Linked DNA regions of Rattus norvegicus. Each later gene encodes a partner of the first gene's protein in a complex. Each region holds a gene or a part of one and is shown in the gene's direction. Other genes may lie near its edges.

Region 1 (4,957 bases):
TGTGTGTGTGTGTGTGTGTGTGTGTGTGTGTGTGTGTGTGTGTGTGACTGAGACGGTGGGGGGCCTGTGTGGCGGGGTAGCGTTTGCACGTTGCTTTGTGTGTGTGTGTGTGTGTGTGTGTGTGTGTGTGTGTGTGTGTGTGTGTGTATGTGTTTCTAAGAGAAAAGGATTTTCCATCGCCCAAGAGGCCATCAAGTTTTAAGATTGCAAGGCACGACTTCTAATCGCATCCTCCGCGGAAAAGTACAAACAGTTCCTGAGAAGAGGTCCCCCACCTCCCACGCGCTCCCCAGCTCTCCCTCACTGCCTAGAACCCGGACAACCTCCCCAACACCTGTGAATCATCCAGAGGCTGCACCACCGAGTTATTTGCATATCGCCGCCCGCCCTCCCCAGCTCCTGACCGCTCCTGACGGCTCCTGACGCACGACAAGCGAAGACAGGATTATGTTGTGTGGTTATTACTTCTAATCTTTCATCTGAACCAGCAGAAGTGGACGTTCTTGCTCATTCCAGCCCCCTCCCCCTCCCCCTCCCCCCGAGCTTCAGTGGTTTGGCCACTGCAAGTGCCAGGGGCTTGTGTAATGAGTGAGTGACACTCCAGATTTCTGTCAGGTCCTAGCCACCTTCCCTCCTGATGTCTGGACATGCATGCTTCGTCCTCTGGACATGGTCTAAGAAACCCGAACATCATCCTAGGTCCGGACTGCAAATTCAACCGGATACAGCGTCATCTAGTCATCTATAAGCCCTGAGCAAACAACTCACAACTCAAAGCCCTGAGACCGCAAAGGCAAACTAGCAGGGCTAACTAGCTTCCCTCTCCCTTTTCCCATCTCCAGCGTTATCTTGGCGATAACTGCTCTGACGTACTTTAAAAGAAAAGTGTGAGCCTTTCCCCAACTGGCTATGATTAAATGAGAACACTAAACCCGCAATGCTGCTTTAATACAATAACTACTCATAAAAATAGCAACCTAAGTAACCTGGTCAGGCAAGGAGCTGGTGAGAGCCAAGGGGAATGCCTCTTCAGACAGACCCCCTTCTCTGGAGAAAATAAATCACAACAGAAATCTATCCCAATCCCTCATATCGTTACCCTTCTATTCCTTTACCTTCCTCTCGTGTCTGTGACTCAACCAAAGACAAATCATCAGGGGAACGTTTTACATATAAATATGTATGTATTTACATTATTGTAATTGTATATACATTCCAAACACACCTATATACATACATATATTCACATATGCATGCACACACAAGGAAAGGCATAGGCCATCAGGAAAACAGTCGCAAGAAATGTGTGTTTCCCAAGACAGTGCTAAAATGGAGTCAAAAGAATCGCTCCATTTGGATGTTTATAAAAGATTGAAATAAAAAGGTTTGCTGCAAAGCGCTCGGGGAGCTGAGTCAAGCGCTCCGCACCTCCCGGCTCCTCCCCTACCGCCCCCAGCCACCTTCCTCCCTCCGCCCTCCCCCATCACACTTCCTCCCCGCCCCTCGAGGAGCCGGCTATTAAAAGCTGCTGACGTCAAAGGAACGGCCATCTTTGATGAGGGCAGAGCTCACGTTGCATTGAAGACGAAACCTCGGGGAGGTCTGGAGCTGTCTTTCCTTCCCTCCCTACCCGGCGGCTCCTCCACTCTTGCTACCTGCAGGGATCAGCGGACAGCATCCTCTGAAGAAGACAAGGTAAAGAGCCCCCTCCTCCGATCCTGGCCCTGGCCCTGCATGGCTGCATACACAGAAGGGACTGCAGCTGGCAGCCCAAGTGAGCCTGGGTAAATACAAGTAGTGGTGCACTTAGGGTGCGGTATTCCCTGTGTGCTCGTCTGCCTAGATTCTTGCCTGGGGCCACATAAAAGTATTTTTCAGGTGAGCTGTTGGGAGAAGGAGTGAATGGGGACACTGCAGGTGGAGTGGTGGAAAAAATAGCGAGGATGTGTATAGAATAATAACTTACTCTTTTGAAGCAGCCGTGGGACCCTCTTCCATCTTGCGATGCAGTTTTGAGATATGTTTAGGTTATTAGGCTTGCGGTTTTTTTTCCTGTAGACTAGAATTTAAAAGCAAAACATGATCTTGTCGTTCGTTCCAACCCTATGATTATGACTGTAGTGTTTAGGGCACTGCTACCCAAGGGAGATGAGAAGGCAGGGTGTGGGCGCTGGGGAGGCGAAAGGAGAAGGGGGGTAGTTCCCGCCCTGGGCAAGCTGAGCTGCCGCAACGGTAGCAGCCTCCACGTCCCACAGACTTGATTTATGCCGCCTGCCCCAAGTCAGCTGCAGGCGGGAAGGGGCTGCAGAGTGGCAAAGCTCTAGGGGGTTAGCGCGGTGGGCTAGGCTGTTGGGGTGCGTGGAGGGAGCTCAGCACCCTGGACAGGAGTGCTCGGCGCCCGTGTCGGCGCCCTGACCTTTCAGCACCGCGGACAGCGATCCGGCTGCAGCGCCGCATTACCTGCTGCAGAGCCGCCTGGCTAGGGCTGGAGGCCAAATTTTCTCTCTGAGATCCAGATCTTAGAGAAAGTCTTAATAAAGCTGGCGTGATAGATTAAAAGAAAGGCAGAAGAATAAATCCTGTCATCGGGGATTTATTTACAGACAATTGCCTGCTCTCTTCCTCACCTCCCACGTAGCTTCAAGAAATAACAGACTACTTGTAGAAGCCTTCTGTATTTCTCCCTGTGCCTTGGTTAAGAAAAAAAAAGCAACAAAACAAAACAAACAGAAAAACAGAAAAACAGAAAAAGAAAGCATACTTTTAAAAACGGTCACTTAGCCTCCATTATGACACGAACACTGTAATTTTTTGTTTTTAACACGGGGTAGATATGTTGATATTAGGTGGGCTCAAGTGGGCTTATATGATAATGCGAGTACTATCTAGACATAGGACAATTGCATCCCTATGGGTTTTTTTTTTATCAAGAATATGGGTTATCTGAACTAAGAAGAACTAATTTTAGGAAATAAATCCCTTGGTTGCTCTCCCTTTATTCTGAAAACTAGATAGAAACAAGCATATACAGCCCCGAAGAAATTTCAATCTCTCTGGCCATGGTTTTGGAGTTAGTGAATTTCATAGCACTGGTTGTGGCAGCTCTATTGATGTAGATTTTGACATCCTTGGGAGAACTTAAAGATGTCCTTCAGGGTTATACATAGGCTGAAGCAGGAACTGACCCCAAGATTCACTGTAATTTCTATTATGGCACTGAAGGATTTTGCTGAGGTCATGATAAGTATTTTCTTCTCCGAGGCTTGGAGACTCTGCATGAGCAAAAATTGTCAGGATAATACATATCTGTTCAATTTAGATTCCCATAATTGTCACGAATGTATCAAGACTAAAAAAGATGATATGCTTTCAGCAGTTGTTAAATGAGAATAACAGCTTCACGTGTAAAGATGTATATAATGCATTAAAGAAATGTTAGCATGAACCCCTTTAAAGACCTTCAAAAGGTCTGGAATTGTGTCTACTTAGTTATAACTCCAATCATCTGTCTTCCAAAGGTACTAAAATTCCCTGTCTATTAAAAAGAATTATTTTATCTCCAGCTATTTATTCATGGGTTCTTTTACCTTTTTCTGAAAATCATGTGTTTCCATGTTTGTATATGCCAGTATATTATTGTGTGTAGATGGAAATTGCTTCCAGTGGACATTTATTCCAGATTTTTGTAGCTGCATGGGAGTTTATAACTCTGAAATCTTCATATATAATAAACAACTATGTTTCATTGATGGGAGGTGGGGGAGAAATATGGGGAGGAGTCTATTTAAATGCTTTACCGTGATAGTGCACATCCAGACAGTTCTGCGCAGTTGCGTCAAATGCAAAGCCTAACACTGCTTGAATTATGTGCTTGAATGTTAGTAATTACTGCTGTGTTTACTGTAGAGTGGAAGGCAAAGGAAAGGGGTACAGCACTGCAGTGAAGCTGGCCGAGGGTGCAGTGTGGGAGAAAGAGGCAATATGAATAATTATACAGCTAAATATAGGCCAGCTAGCTGAGAAAATAAAAGGAAACGTACCTGGAACATAGATTTAACATTTATGTCATGGAAAAACTTCAGTGGGAAAAATAGAAAGATTTTTTCCTTCATTTTAAGTTTGAATTTTGAAAATCCAGGACAATATGGTGAAGGAGGTGGGAGCAGAGAGGCATAGGGAGAATCCAGGAAACAATCCTGCAGACACTGGGATGGGACCTGCTTGTTTGTTTATTGTTGGTTTCCACATTTGGCATTCCCAGCACAAAATAATTTACAGTTTCTACAATCTCTTCGTGGTACAATCTCCCAAGAATTGATAATTTAACTTTTACTTTATAAAACACCCACATCTCCAAGGCAGGCTGCCCCTTAATTTGTTAGATAATATTCCTAAACTCTGGAGTTAACCCCATAGTAAAGGTTATCAGCTGAACAATTGATTTCTTCTCCAATGACACCTAGCAACTGCATCGCAGCTGGCCTTCAGGAGAACTGTTGCCTTTGACCACTGTAGAAATAAAAATAATGTAATCAAGAGATTGAATGAGGAAACAAAAGAAAATCCTGATTTTTTGTAAATGATGCACTATCAAGAAACAATGCTTCTCACGTTATGAGATTGCTTTACAGCACCAGAAAAGCAGGAAAAATTATGGGTTTGGCCTCAGCACTGGATACATTCTGCAATGTCATCCCTTGCCAGCAGGCACCAACCTAATAGGAAGATATTGATCAGTCAGAAAGCACCAGATACATAAATCAACCCCACAGGGGATATACAATTACATGGTTATATGGGTTTTTGACCTCAGTAAGTTTAGCATCTAGTAATCTTAATAGAAATAGTGAGCAATAAAATTGGTCACAGAAATCCAAAATGAAAAAGCAGTAAAACAACGGGAAAAATTATGAAAGTGTAAGTAATTCATCTGAGAGTAAAGGTAAGCGGTAGTGAG
Region 2 (4,298 bases), on another chromosome or scaffold:
CGTTCGAGCAAATCCAGGTATGGTCTGACATGAGTGTGTCCCTCTACCCAGTCGCAGGCCTTCAGATCCCATAAATGACCCTGTGAGTCACCAGGGCTCTGCCCATGCCCGTTCATGCGGTGCCTGAGCCCCACCAAGCAGGACATGACAGACACACAGCCGTGAGAAGGGCTGGCTCTTCAGCTGGTACAGCAAGCTGCCTTCTGCTGAGCAGAGGGAACGTAGAAAACAGAAAACCATCAGAACCACTTTGCTAGGTCATTAAGTTTGTCTATGGAATCCGAAACCTAAGGGAGAACAAACCTGCCTATTCATTCCCAGGCCACAATAAGAAATCCACTTCTGTAGGGAAAAAATAGCCAGTGTCCCTTCTCACGTTGGCCCGTGGTGGATATATAACCAGCTCATACATATCTTCACATGCTAGAAAATTACATGTACTTATGTACTTCACTACTCTAAGCTCACTACTGTGAGCACTTCAGACCTTCTGGCCAATCCTTGAAACATCAGTTTTCTACCATAATTTATTTTGCAATATCTGCTCAGTGAACTTTTTGAGTCCTCGGCCCTTATTCCTATGGAAACTAACACCTCCTGGCATTTTTTTTTTTAATTCCACCAAACAAGATATTGGGATGAAAAAAAAAATCTTGTAAACTTACTCCTTTGGGCTAGAATCCTATACCTATAAAAATACATTCAACCTTTGAAGTACAGAAAGGACAAATATATTGAAAGGGAGGCATATTAAAAACAAAATAAAAATTTCGATTTGGGGCAGCATTTTAAAGGAGAGAGAACATGAGCCCAACATGAAGAAGCTGATTGGGTTTGGGAGTAGCAAACACCCACTGGCTGCATCCGGCCTCCCTCCCCTCTCCTTCCCTCCCTCCCTTTCCCCCTCCCCCCCTCCCCCCTCCCTCTCTCCCTCCCCCACCCCCTCTCAATCCTACACCATTGTTTTCCCCTTCTTTGTATTTCTCTAAAGTAGTGATTCTCAACCTTCCTAATTCTGTGACCCTTCCTTAATACAGTTCCTCATGTTGTGCTGACCCCCAACTATAAAATTAATTTTGTTGCTACTTCATGACTGTAATTTTGCTACTGTCATATGAGTTGTAATGTAAATGTCTGACATACAGGACATCATGTATGACCCCTGGGAAAGGGTAGTTCAACCCTCTGCCCAGGGGGTCTCTACCCACTTGCTGAGAACCACTGCCTTAAAGACAATAGTGTTCTACCTGCTAAAACAGTTTATTTAGTTTTTCTTAGGCTAGGATTATAAGATTGTGCGTCTGTCTTCTGTCTTTTTCAACCCTTCTGAAACATTTTGTGAAGGAAGCAAAGTATGCTAATTTCTGAAAGCAGAAAATATCATCCTCACCACCATCAAAAAATGCAGAAATAAACTATGGAGGCCCCTACAAAAATAGTCCAAAGGGTGCCCCTAACCAGCTCTCCCCTCAGTAACATAATCAAGTTTGCCCTAAATATGAAAACATCTATTACGTTTGCACATCATGCTCCCAGGCTGGCCCCTGACAGTTATTGTATCATGGTGCATTTGCTTGGGACAAGATCTGAGAGTCAAAGCCACACATACCAACATTATCCTTGTTCTCAAACACTACCTAGTAAATAGGTGATTTATTTATTTTATTTATTTGTGGTACTGGGGGATGACCCAACTACCACTGAGCCATATTCCCAGCCTAGAAAGGCAATTGTCTTAAGAGTGGCATCATAGCAAGGCTGCCCATAGAAAATGGTGCTACATTTTACACTACATTCTGAAGTCCATACACAGAAGTGACTGTGAGATGGCCGAGTGGATAAAGATACTTGCAGTCATCATCATAGTCTGGGATGGATTCCCAGGACCTACGTGGTAGGGAAAGAGAAGCAACTCCTGCAAGTTGTCCTCTGACCTCCACATGTGCAGTGTGGTCCATATCCCTGCACACATGCACACACAGAAAATGATAAACACATGTAATAAGGAAATTGCTCTACAGAAAAGAAGTATTTGTTTTTGCTGTTCCAAAGATGTATCTCAGTGGTGTCTCGAAACACACTGCTAGAGTAGTTTGGTCCTCAGAGTCAAAGTCTACAGAAGCATAACTCAGTGTATCCTCACCAGGGTCTGGCTGTCACAGTTCTGTTTTCCTTCCCTTTAATGCTGGCCACAAATCGATATAGCTACTGCATTTTAATCTTTTATCTTTATATCCAGTATCTAAATCAGAACCGTCACATATTCTGACTTACCAAATTCACTTCCTGGGCTGTGGGACTCTTTAGAGAGTATACCTTTTATACTATAATAATATTCTAATTAATAGTATGTAATAGCATAATAATACACTAATCAATGCTTATTAAGAAAATTACACTCAAGAAAAAGCATATTTTCTTTAGTCACTGCCCTTTTAAAAGATTTCAACTGTATTGTCATATTTCCTGGTCACAATTATACGATTAGGTCAGATTCTTTTACTTACACATAAAATGTTGGCTGTCACCTCTTGAAATGAGATCAGAATGCATGATGACTCCATAAGTTTTAATAAAGACAAAGAGAATGGCCTAGGTCCTCATGCCATAACACTCGTGAATAAGACACGTAAAGCCATGTCACAACCTCTCATAGGTACCTTGGCACGGTGGTTAACAGCATAGAAACCAACTCATTCATCCCTCATGTGACCTCAGACAGGTCAAAAAACTTCCGTGAGCTTCCAGCATCTATATCTGTACAGTGAAAATAATAGTAGGCTCGCTTGAGAAAAATAACTGAATTATTCCTTCTGTAAAGTTATTAGATAACATGAAGTAATAAAGATTAATGTGTATGTGTTAAAGATGACCACCAGGCATGATGGCACATTCCTGTGATCTCAACACTTGGGAGGTAGAAACAAGAGAATCAGGAGTTCAGGGTCATCAGTGACATAGTGACCTTGAAGCCAGTCCGAGGTCCATGAGACATTGCCCCACCACATCACAAGAAAGGTAACAAGATGGCGGTGACAATGAGTGTGTCAGTTACAGCGATGGTAATGGCGAGCTAGAACAATGAAAAAAGCAGGGTGAAGTCTTCATATCCAAGAGTTCTCAGCCTCCTCATCCTGGTGGTCAGGAATGGATCCTTAGTTCCTCAGATCCCAAGGAAGTTCTGTGTGTCCCAGGGCTTTTACCTGCAGGGTTGGCTGACACTTGTGCATTCGTGTGTCCTCTTTCAGAAAGTGCAAGTGGTGGTAACTGTTTTGGACTATGACAAGATTGGCAAGAACGACGCCATCGGCAAAGTCTTCGTTGGTTACAACAGCACTGGGGCGGAGCTGCGACACTGGTCAGACATGCTGGCCAACCCCCGGCGACCCATCGCACAGTGGCACACTCTGCAGGTAGAGGAGGAGGTTGATGCCATGCTGGCTGTCAAGAAGTAAAGGGAAAACGAAGCCTTTCTGCATCTGCCCACATAGTGCTCTTTAGCCAGTATCTGTAAATACCTCAGTAATATGGGTCCTTTTGGTTTCCAGCCATGCATTCCTGATACAATCCAGTGGTACTTCAAATCCTGTTTTAATTTGCACAAATTTAAGTGTAGAAAGCCCTTATGCCCTCCATCATACCACTGCCCTCCAAATCTACTCTTCTTTTAAGCAATATGATGTGTAGATAGAGCATGACTGAAATTATGTATTGTATCACACTGTTGTATATACCAGTATGCTAAAGATTTATTTCTAGTTTGTGTATTTGTATGTTGTAAGCGTTTCCTAACCTGTGTATATCTAGATGTTTTTAATAAGATGTTCTATTTTAAACTATGTAAATTGACTGAGATATAGGAGAGCTGATAATATATTATATGGTAAATATAGTATCGTCTGCATTCCAGCAAAAATATCAACTTGAAAGGCACTAGTACAGTTAAACCAACATCTTAAAGGACAACTTAAACCTGAGCTTTCTATTGAATCCTTTGAGTACCAAGATTCGCTCACACAACACCTTTGATGGGCGAACCCAATTTTGTAGAATTCTTTCACAGGCAAATAGCATGACCTGAGCAGCATCTGGGCTGACCTCAAGGAAGCAAAGCCACAAACCAGAATAGCATCTGTCTGTCTGTACCTGCAAAGCCAAAGCCATGGCTTCGCTCTTACAGTCAAGGAAGCAATGAACAGGAGCCAATGCGTTCCTACCACTGCATCTAGCATAGCTTCATGGTGGTGTTCTCTGTGTGTGCGTGTGCAAGCGTGAAAGTGTATGCACGTGTGTATGTG
Region 3 (4,779 bases), on another chromosome or scaffold:
TCACCACCATTACCACCACCAACACCACCAACACCAACACCAACAACAACTATCACCATGGCCACCATCACCACCATTACCAACACCAACACCAACACCACCACCACCAACAACAACAATTATCACCATGGCCACCATCACCACCCCCACTATAATCATTGCCACCACCACCATCCTCATGCTATAATCATCACCCAGATGACCACAACCATCATCAACACCACCACAGGGATCATCTATAGAGCCATGCTATGAAAGGTCTCTCATATCCTGACAGTTTGAATCCTAGCTCTCAAAGACTCACCCTGGGCCCTGCATGGGAAGCTTTACATGAAGAGAGGGACTCCCCTCACTTTGCTGGGAGGTTCTAAATGGCTCTTGGCTTCTTTGGGCTTTGACGTTCTTTCTCCACCCTGAGCACTTTCTCGTAGTTGGCAGAAGCATCACACCAGGGAGCCGGGATGCTGGTGCCATGGGAACATAAGTCCCATTGTGTATCGCCCCCCTCTCCAGTGATTTATTTCCTGCGTGTTGTGACTTTACCTCAGAAAGCCAGTCTGGTTTGGGGGGATGGGTCTTTGGCAGAGGACCGTGTCTGTTCTGGAACTCCTAAAATTCCCAGCCCCATCCCACTCCAACCACATGCTGCAGATTGGTGTGCACCAGACTCATTGGCTGTCGAGTCCTTTATCTCTGTCAAAACATTTGAATCAGAGGGTGGGTTATAGATCATGGAATCAGAGCAGCCCCTAGTGTGGGCATTCTTATTGCTACCTTAGACTCATTCTTTTTGCCGTGAGGAAGTTGTGGTGGTCATGTCTTCAGTTTGCAGTCGGCAGGGACATGGTAACATTAAACGCTATTCCTAAGGTTGCCCAGACTCCCTGAAATCTGTCAGATGTGGTTGTTTAAACAAATCACCCTCCCCTTCAGCCGCTCCTAGTTTTCTTTTTTTTTTTTTTTTTTTTTTTTTTTTTGGTTCTTTTTTTTGGAGCTGGGGACCGAACCCAGGGCCTTGCGCTTCCTAGGTAAGCGCTCTACCACTGAGCTAAATCCCCAGCCCCCGCTCCTAGTTTTCTTAGCCTTGTTTTCTCCTGCTACCTTCTGAGCCCGAGTTGCAGACTTCAGCAGCAATGTGGATGATCCTGAAAACCACAGAGAGACGCACAGGTACCGGCGAAGATCAGGGGTTGTTATAGCCCATTTGACAATATTAGCCTAAGTGTGCAGTGAGGTAGCCTGTATGCAGTCTGACAGAATCGTCCCGGTTCCTCTACTCTGGCCTCCTCCTTTCTCTGCTGCAGCCATCCAATAACTTCCCCTGTTCTGTCTGGGGTTAGTGGCTGCCCTTCCCCTCCGCTTGCGTCCTGGTGCTGTCCGTGGTACTGACTGCCAATCCGGATCGTTCCCAGGCGCCCAGCCTCCCCTCCTGGCCTCCCACCTCTCCTCCCGCAGGCAACGCGGCACAATGCATCGCGGTGGGAGGCAAGCTGGGCTCCCCTGCGCCGGGAAGCGGCTGCCCCTCCCTCTGGATCACACAGGGTTTTTGCAGTAGGTGACAGCAGGATCGGGCACCAGGGAAGCAATTGATTCGTCTACTGCCCGCATCCCAGAGTTGCCTACGCTGCCCAGAGAGGGAGAGAGGAAAGAGAAGAGGGGAGAGAAAGAGAGACTTACAAAACCTTCCTTCCATGTGGAGTAGTCTGAGTGAATCACTGCCCACCGTTGTAGACTCCAACTGTACTTAGTTTTCTCCTTTGACGGGGGTATTTCTTTCTTTCTTTCTTTTGGCATGATTTAGGGGCATGCATTCATGCTGGTGACTTGATTTTATTTTGGGAAGACAGGGAGAGTCAAATGCACAATTTTCTTTCAGGCATATCTGCTGGTCTTTCAAGCCAAGTCGCTGGCACTTAACATCTCCCCCCGGCAGGGAGTTGGCAAGAATTTGGCTCACGCCTTCTGCTGCAATCCTCCGTTGTCTTGGTGAGTGACATTCTTCGTGGTGGTCCTGCAAATGGACTAGGGGATCTCAGGACCCTAACTGAGATGTGCAATGTTCATGTATGAGCTAGGAAGAGGGGAGCGGGGAGGGTAGGGCTGGCGATAACTGAACACGGTTCTTTGCCTGCATTCTGTAGGCTTTTATCAGCAACACTCCAGAGACAAATAGGATTTTAGTTCAGTGCCCAGGGAGGAGGCAAGAGTGCGCCTGTTCAGGCGACGTGAGCAAGAGAGTGGCTTCTACTCAGTTTGTCCTCTGCAGCAGAAGCTGAGGAAAGTGATTGGCAGCTCTTGAATGAGTTAACCCTTCATGGCCAGAACGGCACAGGGGGCCTCTAAGTGTTTGATTTGGTGGGTAGGCACCTTAGTCCTGGTTGGGAGAGTCACCTGAGCCTAGAAGGTTAACCCTTGCCTGAGCATCCTGGGCCAGCCTTTGCTTAGGACGGGGCTCAGACTGGGCTCTCCGCCAGGACTGGCTGAGTAATTGAATTGTGGTGGGTTCTGCAAACTCAGCTGTCCTGAGATGGGAAAGCGAGGATCCATGAAAGCGCCACCTTCTCGATTGGCATGAATGGTCAAGCAGTCAGCTGCTTGCCGAGCCGAGCTGTGGATGCTCTATTTTTTTTTTTTTACAGGTGGTGTCACCTGTAAGAGATTGGATGGGGGGTATGTATGTGGCTGTGGCACAGGGACTCTGTCACTGAGCCCGTCTCCCCACTGAGAAGAAGGGGAGCATGACATTCCAGTCCCTGGTCCCCAGTTCCAGGACAAACTGTAACCTCTATCCCAGTTTTTTTTCTCTGACATCTCAGTGAGGGGTAACTCCATACCAACCTGTTAGCCAGTGGGAAGCAGAGGTCCCTCACCACGAAGTCCCAAAGCTCGAGTCTTTAATTTTTAAAATGCTTTTGCCGGTAATCTGTGATCTATGGGAGAGGATTCTGCTCTGCTTTCTGCTTTAATTACTTCCTACCTTTTTGGGGAAATGAAAGTCTTTATTTTTAGCCCCGCAATCCACTTCGGCCGTCTCTGTCCGCTGGAATTTCTTTAGGAAGTTGAACTTGGGAGGCAAGAAGAAGACAAGGTTAGCCCCAGGGACTAGCAATCTGGAAATGCTGAGAGGGTCTCACCCAGCCCCAGGGCCATGAGGGGCTAGGGAGCGCAGGGTACAAGCCTATGTGGGCAGGACACAGGAGGAGAGTGTAGCCTGGTGGTCAGTGCCAAGGAGAGGGTCCTCCGAAACCTGGCTGCCAATCTGGGTGACCTTGAGGAATCTGCCTCCCTGGGAAACCATACACATGAATGGAAAGTGAAGAAGCTTGGCTTGCTTGAGTGAGACACTGCAGGCTTGCCCACAGACGATACTTCAAATACTGGACTTTCATGTTCTTTGGTTGGAATGGAATGTGGCTGGACTTTGGAATGGGGAGGAGACGGGCATTGAGGTTCACTGTTGCAATGAGAGTGAATCCTTCACTTGCTGGGCTGTGGGGAGGATGCAGGGGGCCTGGAGATGATCAACAGAGCCCCAGGAGCCCCAGGCAGTGTCACAGATACTGTGGGACATTTCCTTAGTCAACTTCTAGTTTCCAACCCTGCAGCACAATACAGCTCCTTGGACCAGCCCAGGCCCGGGCTGTCCAGATACAAAGGCTTCCTGGCCATCCATCTCCCTTGGTGTGGCCAGGAGCCAGGAGCCTGCCTCCTCCCTGTCACATCTGAAGTGGTGCATTGGGGTGCACCAGTGAGAGAACCTTCCGGAATGATTCTTGGCCTTGGATCAGGGCCCTTGAGTCTCGGGGCCTCTCTTCTCTCTCTGGGCCTCAGTTTCTCCATCTATGCAATGAGTCAGCTGCCCTGGGTGACTCAGGCTTCTTCCAGAACCTCAGATCTTCGTTACAGCCGCTGCTATGGCAAGGAGCGGCCATACTTTTAGGGAGACTTACTATTGTTTCCCTCTGATCCCACTGCTGGGGGAGACCCAGAGAGGGAAAGCAACTTGTCTAAAACCACACAGCAGGTCTTGGAATCCACCGTCATGGATATCAAGGCATTCTCTTACCCTTACATCCTGGTAGCCCCTATTTCTGGTCCCCGGCCTGCGGCGTAGAAAGGACGGATGCCCTCCAAACCTGTCTTGGGTTGGGAAGCTGAGCCCTGGAGACGGATAAAGTTAATCCTTGTATTTGGGGCTGCTACTATCCCATCAGCATGGAGGAAGGGGGTTCCCAGCAGCTCCTGGTGCCCTGTTCCCTCAGCCACTGTGTCTGATGTGTGTTTTGGGGTGGGTGGCTGCTGGGGGAGGTGGCTTGTAGGACATGGCTTATATAGGACATGGGAATCTTTATTAACACCTTCGCTTTCCTGTATCACTCACAGACCATGGCTTTCCGTCAATCCCACACCCCCCTCCCCTACACACAGCCAACATATGGTCCTGTCTTTTCCTGCAGGGGACCGGGGGCAGGGTGGTCCTACAGGCAGACAAGCTGGAGTTGAGGTAGTAGGGTTTATTTCTGCTAAGAGCTGTGGCTGAACTTGGATAAAAATAAACCCCGGGACCCAGTAGTGGTGGGCTGGAGTCGACGCATCTGAATTATTCAGCTGCCTCCCAGGATGGAGAGGCTCATGTGTTCAGGGGAGGAGAAGGAGGAGGAGGAGGAGGAAGAAGAGGAGGAAGAGGAGGAGGAGGAAGAGGAGACTACACTGCAGATACAGTCCTTCCTTCCTGTCCCCCACCCTTCCTTCGAGTCTAGGAACTGCAGTGTGGTCACT
Region 4 (4,746 bases), on another chromosome or scaffold:
AAATATGGAAAATGTTTTCTGAATGCTTTCTATTCTTCCTGCTGTAAATTAAAAATGAAGAAAATTTCCCCATATCATCCGCGTTTTGCTTTAACCTGACCTAAAACCCAAGGTGTTGTGGGTGGGAAGTTTGTTTGTTTTTTTTTTTTTTTCACCTCCCACACACAGTGTCCTCCCACCCAGCGTTTCACTTAGAGCCACTTTCCCAAAGCACTTGCCTACCCTGCCTGGTTCCTCAGTACCTCGAGTCTTTCTTCTTAAATGGGTTGCTTGGAAGATAAGGATCTCGATCTTACATTAACCCTTCTCATGTAGCTCAGAGAACCCATGAAGTCCCAACGCTTACGTATAAGGATGACCTTGAACCTCTTAACTGTTTACCTAAAAAGCTTCTGTTGAGATTACGGGTGTGCCGACAGGCTGGGTCTTATCTGGTTCCAGGGGATCAGACCCAGGACTGGATGTTAAGACTAGCACCCTGCCAACTAAGCTACTCTTCAGCTCTACTAGGTAGGTTTGTTTTTTTTTTTTTTAAAGACCCTTTCCAGCTTACCTCACAAAGGCTTCCCTGCAGGTATTTTTTTCCGTTACTGTTCCAGTCCTCTTCGCTGCAGAGTTCTGCTATCTTTCTGGGAGTACTTCACTTCTGATCTACCTCAGAATAAGTGCCAGTTTCACACTCTGAACCTCCCACCAGGAGCCCACTGCAGTTTCTGTTCACTATTTAAGCGCAGCCCCACACTCTCCAGTTGGTCTGTGCTCCTACCTAGAATGTTTTTTTTTTATATCTACTACTCAACCCAGTACCCACTGAAGTGGCGTGCTTTATTGCAATACTCACCTTTGCGAGTTCACCACGCTGAAGTGGAAAATACCTTAGGTGTATTTTACTTAATGAATCCACCAACTGAACTTATTTAGTCTGTTTAAAGAGACTGTTTGGATTCTTTGCGACGTATACTACTCACCCCCTTTGAACAAAAGTTGAGTATCTCTTCTCTGCTAGGACCAGGGAATTACAGAAATGAAGAAACTTACAGTTCTCAAAGTCCAAGGCTCCCTTCAGGAATTGTAATAGCCGTGCAATGGCAAATACTTGTCATGTGAGAACCTGAGAGGGGATTTCTTCCAAACCCTGTGGTCAAGACTCCAAATGGACTTCCTACTGCCTCTTTCTCAGAAAAGAACTTTGTCTCCTCAGGTCCACTAGATTATTCTGGAACGTTAGGCTCATAAGCAGTTTCTAACATGGTCACGACCCAGAGAGAAGGTATGCGGGCTCATAGTAATGTAAAACGCACCCATTCTCACTCTAAACTGCCTTTCCAGGGCTAGAGACAGGGCAGCGGAGACACTGCAGGAAGCTGCTGTGATTCCAAGGCGCTGAAGAGCCCAGCCCAAAGGCGCAGGCGCCGCGCTCTAGCCCCGCCCACTTGTCCACCGAGAAGCCCGCCCACTCGTCAGCGTGGGCGCTACTTCAGCGCAAGCTCTGGCCCCTCCTACTCTGGTCAGCCCGGAGGTTACAGCCCATGTAACCCCGCCCATTTCCGGCGCGCCCTCGGCGGCTGAGAGCGCATCGCCGGTTCCGGTCCTGCCCCTGTTCCTGACGTCACCGCAGCCCCGCCCATCTCCTCAGCCTCGGTTGCCTGCAGCGCAAGTCCACGGACCCTCGGCCATTCGCTGCCGCTGCCGCCGCCGCCAAAATGTGAGTGACGCGCTGCGCTGCGAGGCGAGGCGGGCTCCGGGGGCCGTGGCCCACTCCTGGGACCCGCTTCAGGCGCGGTGGCTGCTGCTCGGCACTCGGACTCGAGTGGAGGCCTCGCGGGCCTAGGTGCAGCGTCCCGGGCCCTGAAGTGGGCGGCGGCCCCGCGGTGCACTCTGCCCCCGGACGCTGCGGGACGAGTCTTGGCGCCGCGACGTCCCCGAGTGCTTCGAGGCCGGCGGGCAGACGCGGAAGGGCGGGGATGGGGGCACCGGCTGACCGAGGAAGCGGCCGCCCCACCCTGCCTCTCCTTCCTCGAGAGGGGCGGGGGCGCTCGCCCTCTGCGCCGCGGTGCGGGGCAGGAGCGGGAGCCCGGGAGGTGGCCCGGAGCTGAGGCCCAGCCCATGGTAGACCAGCGTTTGGCGTCCTCAGAGGAGCTCTCGCGCTGCTAGCGCACCTTGGCAGCGGAAGGTTTCGCTTCCGTTTTAAGCAAACACACTCTTGTTTTGAAATTGGTTTCTAATAGTAACCTTCAGCGGGAATTGATGTATCTACTTCTCGAAGTTGTCACTACTTAAGATGTACCTGGTCAGACTGCTGTGCAAATGACTGTGTCCCGTCCATGCATGAGAGAATTAAAGTGGACCTGGTTTCACTTCAGCCAGCTGCATGTTTTATCCTAAGTTTTAATAAGATGAGGAGGATAGTAATACCCTCTTCATAAAGTTATCAGGCTTCAAAGAGGAAAAAAAAAACATGCATAGTGCTTCCAGAGCACGGCCCTTAGCTGTTTAACTTTCGGACCCTGAGTTCTGAGACAGCCATCAGTGTTGTGTGTCCTTGATGGTGGACACAGTGCTGACTTAAAAGAACTGTTGAGGGGTTGGGGATTTAGCTCAGTGGTAGAGCGCTTGCCTAGGAAGCGCAAGGCCCTGGGTTCGGTCCCCAGCTCCGAAAAAAAAGAACCAAAAAAAACCCAAAAAAACTGTTGAGTCAACCCTGGGGTGACAGTTGTGTACGAAGGCACAGGTTGAGCACTGTCTTAGATACAGGAAGAGTTTAATGGAGTTAATAAGGACTTAAAAGCCAGAGTAGTCATGAAGAGTGGGGATGAATGAAAATACAGATTCACTGAACCAACATGAGATGACTTTCCAACAGAGACAATTGCTTCAGCCACCTTCCCATTCACAGAGACCCCTCGGTTGCACTACTTCAGCACATTGGCTGTTCTGTGATTGTTCCTAACCATAAGGCAGTTCTTGCCACAGCAAAAAGGTCACGAGACTACTGAGTGCCTTTAATCATCTGAGTGCCTTAAAGCAAGTTTTTTTAAAAAGAGGACTTCATTGACACAAAACAGATCTTATTTTGCTTCAGACTTTGGTCACTATGAAGTGATAGTCTTTTTTTTTTTAAGATATATTTATTTACTATATATAAGAACACTGTCGCTGTCCTCAGACACACCAAAAGAGAGCATCGGATCCCATTACAGATGGTTGTGAGCCACCATGTGGTTGTGGGATTTGAACTCAGAACCTCTGGAAGAGCAGTCAGTGCTCTTAACCGCTGAGCCATCTCTCCAGCCCCAGTGATACAGTCTTAAGAATTATTGAGGAATTATAAAAACACATTAGTGCCTTTATTTCTTACTGCAGGGCTTTAGGAATGATTGCAGTATAAGGAGTCAGTAAGACTGAATCCCAGCGGGGCTGGGGATTTAGCTCAGTGGTAGAGCGCTTACCTAGGAAGCACAAGGCCCTGGGTTCGGTCCCCAGCTCCGAAAAAAAGAACCAAAAAAAAAAAAAAAAAAAGACTGAATCCCAGCATAACAGTTTGTACACACAAACATGCCACGGGATACTTGTGAGCAGAGAACAACCTCACATGGCAGCCCTTCTTTCCACCTTAGTAGAGACGGTATCTCTTGTCCAGTGCTGCACGTATCAGGTGAGCTGGCCCTCAGGCTTCCAGGACTCTTGTGTCCACCTCCCATGTCGTGGTCGGAGTGTCGGGATTATGTTTGCCTCATCAAGGGCACCAGGAATCACAATGTACTCATACCTGTGACTTTATACCTTTCAGGTCTACAGGGGTGCCTTCAGGGTCCAGTGCTGCCACTGGCAGTAATCGAAGACTCCAGCAGACACAGAATCAAGTAGATGAGGTACTGCTCTAAAGTTTCAAGTGTGACTTTTAAACACACATGGGAATTCTCTCTAGAATTTTATTTGGAAAAAGAGTCATTGGAGCTAGAAAGGTGTCTCGGGTTGAAAGAACATGTATTGTTCTAGCAGAGGATCCACCTGGATTCCAGTCACTCTCATCTGGACCATGAAACTGCCTGTAATGGACTCCAGTGGCACATGCATGTTCCCTCACAGACACACACATAACTCATTGTTTTTTAAACGTTGGGGGGGGGGGGGAAGCATCACTGACATGTGAGCATAAATTTCGAGTATGTCAGAAGTCATCTTTCTAAATGTGTATTTGCAGGGCAATAGTAAAGATTCTGTGAGAAACTCAAACCAGCATTTCCATATTCTTTTCTTAAAGATTAGTTTTCTTTTTATGTATATGATTATTTTGCCTGAATGTTCTAGAAGCCATCTGCCAAGCACAAAGGAGACTCTTCCTGGTTTCATACTAATTTTTCTACTATCAAATCACAAACCTAAAACATATCCGAAAGTTTGTCCCCAGAGCCACTTGTAAGATAGGGTAATTGGATTGCTCAAGCCAGGAGCAAGTCTTTCTGAGCTGGGTTTTGTTTTGCTCCCAAATTGTTGTGTGTCTTATAGCAGGATTTACTAGTTATCTGGTATAGGCAGGTCTTTGTAGAAGCTTTCTCTGATATTTGTCGAAGGAGCCATAGAAGGTGGAACTGCTGTAGTCCCAGCTCTCCCTGGAATTCTTGAGCTAGTGGAGTCCTATGGCAACTTTTGTTTGGGTATGTACGTGTAGAACCACGGTGAAGAGCCTGTGAGATGGACCACTGTTTCCATACTCTTTTTATTAAGACTTAAGTGTATGAGGTT
Region 5 (4,298 bases), on another chromosome or scaffold:
TCCCCTTGGCCAGTCTGGGGCATGAGCACTGTCTTCAAGGACTCTGGTTCTTGCTGTCCTGTTTCCCTTTCTAGGCAAGGACTCATTGTAGGGCTATACCTGAGAGATTTGGGGAGTTAAGGAAAGAAATGGACTAGGGGAGGGAGCAAGTGGGAAGTGTCACATGGATTAATCTCACTGTACCTTCCCAGAGCACCCCTCATACCCTCCCCATCTTCTCCTTGCTCTCTGTTTAGGTTCCAGACTTTTCTGTGCAAGAGGAGAGTCTCTGAACCCAAGAGCCTGGATGTTTTGTACTTTTAGTCCTCGGCTCTGCCTGCCTTTTCTTCCTCTCTGTGGAAGTGGAGGCTCTTGAGTTGCTGGGTGGAGGGGATGGGCGGGTACTGTGTTCACCCTGGCCATTTGTTTATAGTGGGACCTAGGCTTCCCAAGGCAGCTTTCTGACCTCCTCGATTCACCAGAAAGCTCTGCGAAGGCTGCCATTGGGCTGGAGTAGGCTGATCTGGACCTCTGCCTGGCACTCTAGCTGTGTTCTTGAGAGCCCGAAGTGCCTCCTGGGGCCGTGACTGAAGCTGGGCCAATCTGTTCTATTCTAGCTGCTGGGAACGCTTTCTGCCAGGCTGCCCAACTGCACCTACAGCTCCAGAGCAAGCACGATGCAGCCACCTGCTTTGTGGACGCCGGCAACGCTTTCAAGAAAGCTGACCCCCAAGGTAAGGGCCTGTGGGAGCCACAGACGGCAGAACAGGTGAGCACTGTCCCCATCCTCAGGTGTCTGCACAGATCTGGGCTTTTCCAGTGGCTGACACACGATAGGCCAGGAGCAAAACAAGCCCTGACTGCAGAATTGGCTGGTCTTTGCTGTCACTGGCATCCTGCCCCGCAGGTGGCACCTCTCCCACCCAGGCTTTGAGCATTTGGGAGTGGGAGTTCCATTTCAGACCCACTGTTTGCCAGGAAACCAGGCAAAGCTGTTCAGTTGTCAGAATTAGCATGCAGAAGGGGGCAGGGCAGTCCAAGCCAAGCCAAGTAAAGTGGAGCTCTGCTTGACCTGGCTTCCCTGCACTCCAAGAAGAAGCAGGGGAAGTTGCCAGAGGCCAGTTCCTTAAAGCAGAGCCTCTGGGGACAGGTTTGGACGCAGCACAGCCCAGGGACCTCAGACTCGGATTTCCTGGGCTGGGGAGTTTGCTTTCGTTATTTTTCTTGGTTCTTTTTTTTTTTTTTTTTTTTTTTTTCCGGAGCTGGGGACCGAACCCAAGGCCTTGCGCTTCCTAGACAAGGGCTCTACCACTGAGCCAAATCCCCAACCCCTGCTTTCATTATTTTTATTCGCTTATTTGTGATGCTAGGGATTCAGCCTGGACCTCTGATGTGCTGAGAATGTGTTATACACATCTCGGTCCCCAGAATGATTTCTTTTTTAAATCTTAGAGCCACATAGATTGCTAACTTTAACTTTTAGCAAGCAGAGGTGTCTGACGCAGTCATGGTGGCTCATGCCTATCATCTAAGCATTTGGCAGGCAGAGGCAGAAAATTCAGGTACTCAAAACAAACCATCCTCAACCCTTGGCTACAAAGCGAGTTTGAGGCACACCTAGGGCTGTATGAGACTAAGTCTCATTAATAATTTTTAAAATATCTAGGATTTTTTTCTTTAGAAGAATGGAAAAGAAGTGACTATTCTTTTCAAAAGGAGGTGCTCAGTGTTTGGATAAAGGTTCACCTCTAGGGAGAAGACACGCACCCCATGCTCTCTGCAGCATCAGTGAATAACTGCCATTGTTGACAGAGCCACTCCCAGTTAGAGAGATGACTGTGTTGGCTCCGTCCCTGGGCTGACAAGCAGAGAGAGACAGCCTCTCAGCTGGGTAGGACTTGGATACAGCCAGCGGCTCAGGGCAGTCCTTTCCTCCACACAGCCCTCCTCATGCTTTCCCCTTTTGCTCCCTGGGGGACTGGTTGGCCTGGAGACACTGCCTAGCATCTGTGCCCCTCAGCTGCTGCTCCATCCGGAGGGGCTGGGAGGACCAGTTCCTGGGTGCTAGTGGCTGCCAGCCTAAAGGATGCCCTAGCATCATGAGCTCTTTGAACAGAACTGTACCTCCCAGTTTGTGGTTGGGTCCTTTTCCTCCAGAGACTCAGGCATGGGCCCTGTCCTCAACACGTGCAGGCTAATGTGGATGTGCACTGAGGATGCTGCAGCTAAGGGCGTAATGGTGGAGAGGGTACCTAGCACAATTGTGAGAGGAGAGCTTCTGATGGTAAGGGCTAGGGACTCATGCTGGACAGGGAGGGATGACAGCTGAGTGACATTCAGCCCCACTGCCATGGTACCCTCCCCAATCACAGCTCCACAAATGAGGGGAATGGACTGCATTTGCAAAGATAACAGCCATTTTGTCTAGGGCCAGTCAGGGCTCACAGAGAAGATTAGCCAAGCAGGGGAAGACATGCCTGGGTAACCTGAGCCTCACTTCCCCCTCCCCCAAGAAACCCAGGGCCTTGTGCTGCACCATGAAACTGCATCCTAGCCCTGTTACTCTTCAGGGCTTTATTTTCTCCTCGGTGATAGCATCCACTTACTGCGAGGTGCACATAGCAGCTTCTGATATCCAGGAGGGAGCCACCCTGAGCTCTAGAGCTTCTCCCATGTGGCCAGTGTCCTAGGAAACAGGTGGAGGAAGGCCAGGGAGGCTTGAACACCCAGTTTGTTCAGGAGGAATCTCCCTCACCTGTCTGATCACCTGCCCTGTGGTCTCATCCGTCAGCTCTTTAGGGATCCCACCTGAGACTTCCATTAGCAGCAGCTGACGGCCTGGGAATTTAACCCTTTTATAGCTTGCCTTGTGTGTGCATAGGCAGGGAAATAGTCTGTCCTCACGGGTCTTCTACCTAACCCCACGCCTACTGTTCTGTGGTTTCTTGGATGCCTACTATGTACAAGCACCTGACGCTGTTGCATCCATCCCCTCTCCTTGCTGGGGCTTGCAGTTTGTCCCTGTTTTACTGTGAACGGTGCTTGCTTAGCTCTGCATATGCCAGGGACTTCAGAGTAATGTAGAGTTGAGCTGGGTTCTGTAAGCCTCTCTCTACAGGCTGAGCACCCAGGAGGGTAGGAACTGACCTGTGGCATCAGAAGCCCTGTGGTGAGAGCAGATCAGGGTGTCAGCCAGCAGCCTGCTGCTTTCCAAGCTGTTCCTAGAGCAAGGAGCCAAGGCCCTGTAAATCCATGTTTCTCCCTTGCTTCTGTGGCAGGGACAGCCCCCTCAACAGATCCCATGCCAACAGGCTTTAGCTGCTGAAATCCCCACAGGAAGCAACCTTAGCATCCACATCCCGAGAGAGCCCAGCACACTCAGTCCAGTAGGAGCCCTGGAGCCTTCCTACCACATGGTCTGTAGTCCATCTAGACCCTTTGTCCGGCCCTGTGCCTCTCCCAACCCCCTCCTGAGTTGGTGGTTAAAAGATACTGAGAGTTCATTTCCATCTGCTAGAAGATGCCTCCCACTCATGCCTCTCTCCTCCAAATAACTTGTTCAAAAAAAAAATCCTTTTCCCAATTTAAAATCTTAGAAGAAATGGTACAATGAAGGTACCATCCTGGTGTTCGGTACAGCTTGCTATTCAAGCAGCCAGTAGGGCCAGGACCTTTTGGATGCACCAAGGAGAGGACAGTGCTCTTCAGATGGGGGTGCAGAGCCCCCATGAAGAGGGCCCAGTGCTCATTGCATCCAGCCTTCTCTGCAGGAGAGGCCAGTCAGGCTAAACTCAAGGATAGGACTCACTCAGGACAGTCTTCAAGGTCAGACACTGAGCCCTATAGCCTCTGCCCCAGCTAGCAGTTTGCCCTTTGATGGCAGGGCTGTGATAGTCTGATTCAAACTCTATAGGAGTCTGACTGTGCCACTGTGCCCTGATCTGCTTGCAAGCTGGAAGTGTGGCTGCCTAAGGGAGCTGGCCTCCCTGGGAAGAAGTGCCCAGCATGTCTCTGTATGCAGAAATACTCAGTCCAACTAGGTTGCCTGGGGTCTAGGGCTCCCACCCTTCCGGTTGCTCGAGATCCTAAGAGCCCTGAAGCCAAGGCAACCATGTGCCCGTCATCTCCCTGAGGGAGTATAGTCTGCCTCCTGTCCTCAGGACCTGCTATAATGACCTCTCCATCTTCTCTTTCCTCCCCAGAGGCCATTAACTGTCTGATGAGAGCAATTGAGATCTATACAGACATGGTAAGGGTTGCTTGCTGATCCTGCCTTGCTCTGTCCCATCCTGTCTATACTGTGCTTTAGGGGTCAGGGA

What was found.
Region 2: the proteins of Snap25 (region 1) and Syt1 are in contact, whole or in part, in a crystal structure (PDB 5KJ8), measured with the Rattus norvegicus proteins. Residues at the interface, in NP_112253.1 of Rattus norvegicus: Lys40, Asp41, Ile44, Leu47, Val48, Asp51, Glu52, Glu55, Gln56, Arg59; in NP_001028852.2 of Rattus norvegicus: Cys277, Arg281, Lys288, Val292, Leu294, Glu295, Asn336, Tyr338, Asn340, Arg398 (codon at 3,381), Arg399 (codon at 3,384), Pro400 (codon at 3,387), Ala402 (codon at 3,393), Trp404 (codon at 3,399).
Region 3: the proteins of Snap25 (region 1) and Rph3a are in contact, whole or in part, in a crystal structure (PDB 5LOW), measured with the Rattus norvegicus proteins. Residues at the interface, in NP_112253.1 of Rattus norvegicus: Glu38, Asp41, Ile44, Arg45, Leu47, Val48, Met49, Asp51, Glu52, Glu55; in NP_598202.2 of Rattus norvegicus: His617, Ser618, Ala621, Ile648, Ser649, Ala650, Lys651, Gly652, Leu655, Tyr659, Leu662, Lys663, Lys665.
Region 4: the proteins of Snap25 (region 1) and Vamp3 are in contact, whole or in part, in a crystal structure (PDB 5KJ8), measured with the Rattus norvegicus proteins. Residues at the interface, in NP_112253.1 of Rattus norvegicus: Asp147, Leu150, Glu151, Val153, Ser154, Ile157, Leu160, Arg161, Ala164, Leu165, Met167, Gly168, Ile171, Asp172, Gln174, Asn175, Ile178, Asp179, Ile181, Met182, Ala185, Asp186, Asn188, Lys189, Ile192, Ala195, Asn196, Ala199, Thr200, Met202; in NP_476438.1 of Rattus norvegicus: Ser15 (codon at 3,831), Arg18 (codon at 3,840), Leu19 (codon at 3,843), Gln21 (codon at 3,849), Thr22 (codon at 3,852), Gln25 (codon at 3,861), Val26 (codon at 3,864), Glu28 (codon at 3,870), Val29, Ile32, Met33, Asn36, Lys39, Val40, Glu42, Arg43, Lys46, Leu47, Glu49, Leu50, Arg53, Ala56, Leu57, Gly60, Ala61, Gln63, Phe64, Ser67, Leu71, Lys74.
Region 5: the proteins of Snap25 (region 1) and Napa are in contact, whole or in part, in a cryo-EM structure (PDB 6MDM), measured with the Rattus norvegicus proteins. Residues at the interface, in NP_112253.1 of Rattus norvegicus: Glu37, Lys40, Asp41, Ile44, Arg45, Leu47, Asp51, Glu52, Glu55, Gln56, Arg59, Glu62, Gln152, Asn159, Met163, Asp166, Glu170, Thr173; in NP_542152.1 of Rattus norvegicus: Lys122, Glu155, Glu156, Ser157, Asn158, Ser159, Ser160, Asn162, Pro196, Leu197, Leu198, Tyr200, Ser201, Lys203, Asp204, Ala234, Phe235, Ser236, Arg239, Ser268, Ile269, Ser270.

The regions. Positions count from the first base shown.
Region 1 is NC_086021.1:144,493,047-144,498,003, forward strand, and holds the start of Snap25 (synaptosomal-associated protein 25), read left to right. Parts: upstream 1-1,548; 5' UTR 1,549-1,695; exon of another isoform or gene 1,696-1,878; intron 1,879-1,966; exon of another isoform or gene 1,967-4,957.
Region 2 is NC_086025.1:45,701,673-45,705,970, reverse strand, and holds the end of Syt1 (synaptotagmin-1), read left to right. Parts: coding exon 1-17; intron 18-3,248; coding exon 3,249-3,455; 3' UTR 3,456-3,743; downstream 3,744-4,298. UniProt on the Homo sapiens protein: Calcium sensor that participates in triggering neurotransmitter release at the synapse. May have a regulatory role in the membrane interactions during trafficking of synaptic vesicles at the active zone of the synapse.
Region 3 is NC_086030.1:41,201,948-41,206,726, forward strand, and holds the start of Rph3a (rabphilin-3A), read left to right. Parts: upstream 1-1,614; 5' UTR 1,615-1,766; intron 1,767-1,876; 5' UTR 1,877-1,986; intron 1,987-4,779. UniProt on the Homo sapiens protein: Plays an essential role in docking and fusion steps of regulated exocytosis.
Region 4 is NC_086023.1:166,788,429-166,793,174, reverse strand, and holds the start of Vamp3 (vesicle-associated membrane protein 3), read left to right. Parts: upstream 1-1,652; 5' UTR 1,653-1,703; coding exon 1,704-1,705; intron 1,706-3,790; coding exon 3,791-3,872; intron 3,873-4,746. UniProt on the Homo sapiens protein: SNARE involved in vesicular transport from the late endosomes to the trans-Golgi network.
Region 5 is NC_086019.1:85,925,222-85,929,519, forward strand, and holds part of Napa (alpha-soluble NSF attachment protein), read left to right. Parts: intron 1-596; coding exon 597-713; intron 714-4,181; coding exon 4,182-4,228; intron 4,229-4,298. UniProt on the Homo sapiens protein: Required for vesicular transport between the endoplasmic reticulum and the Golgi apparatus. Together with GNA12 promotes CDH5 localization to plasma membrane.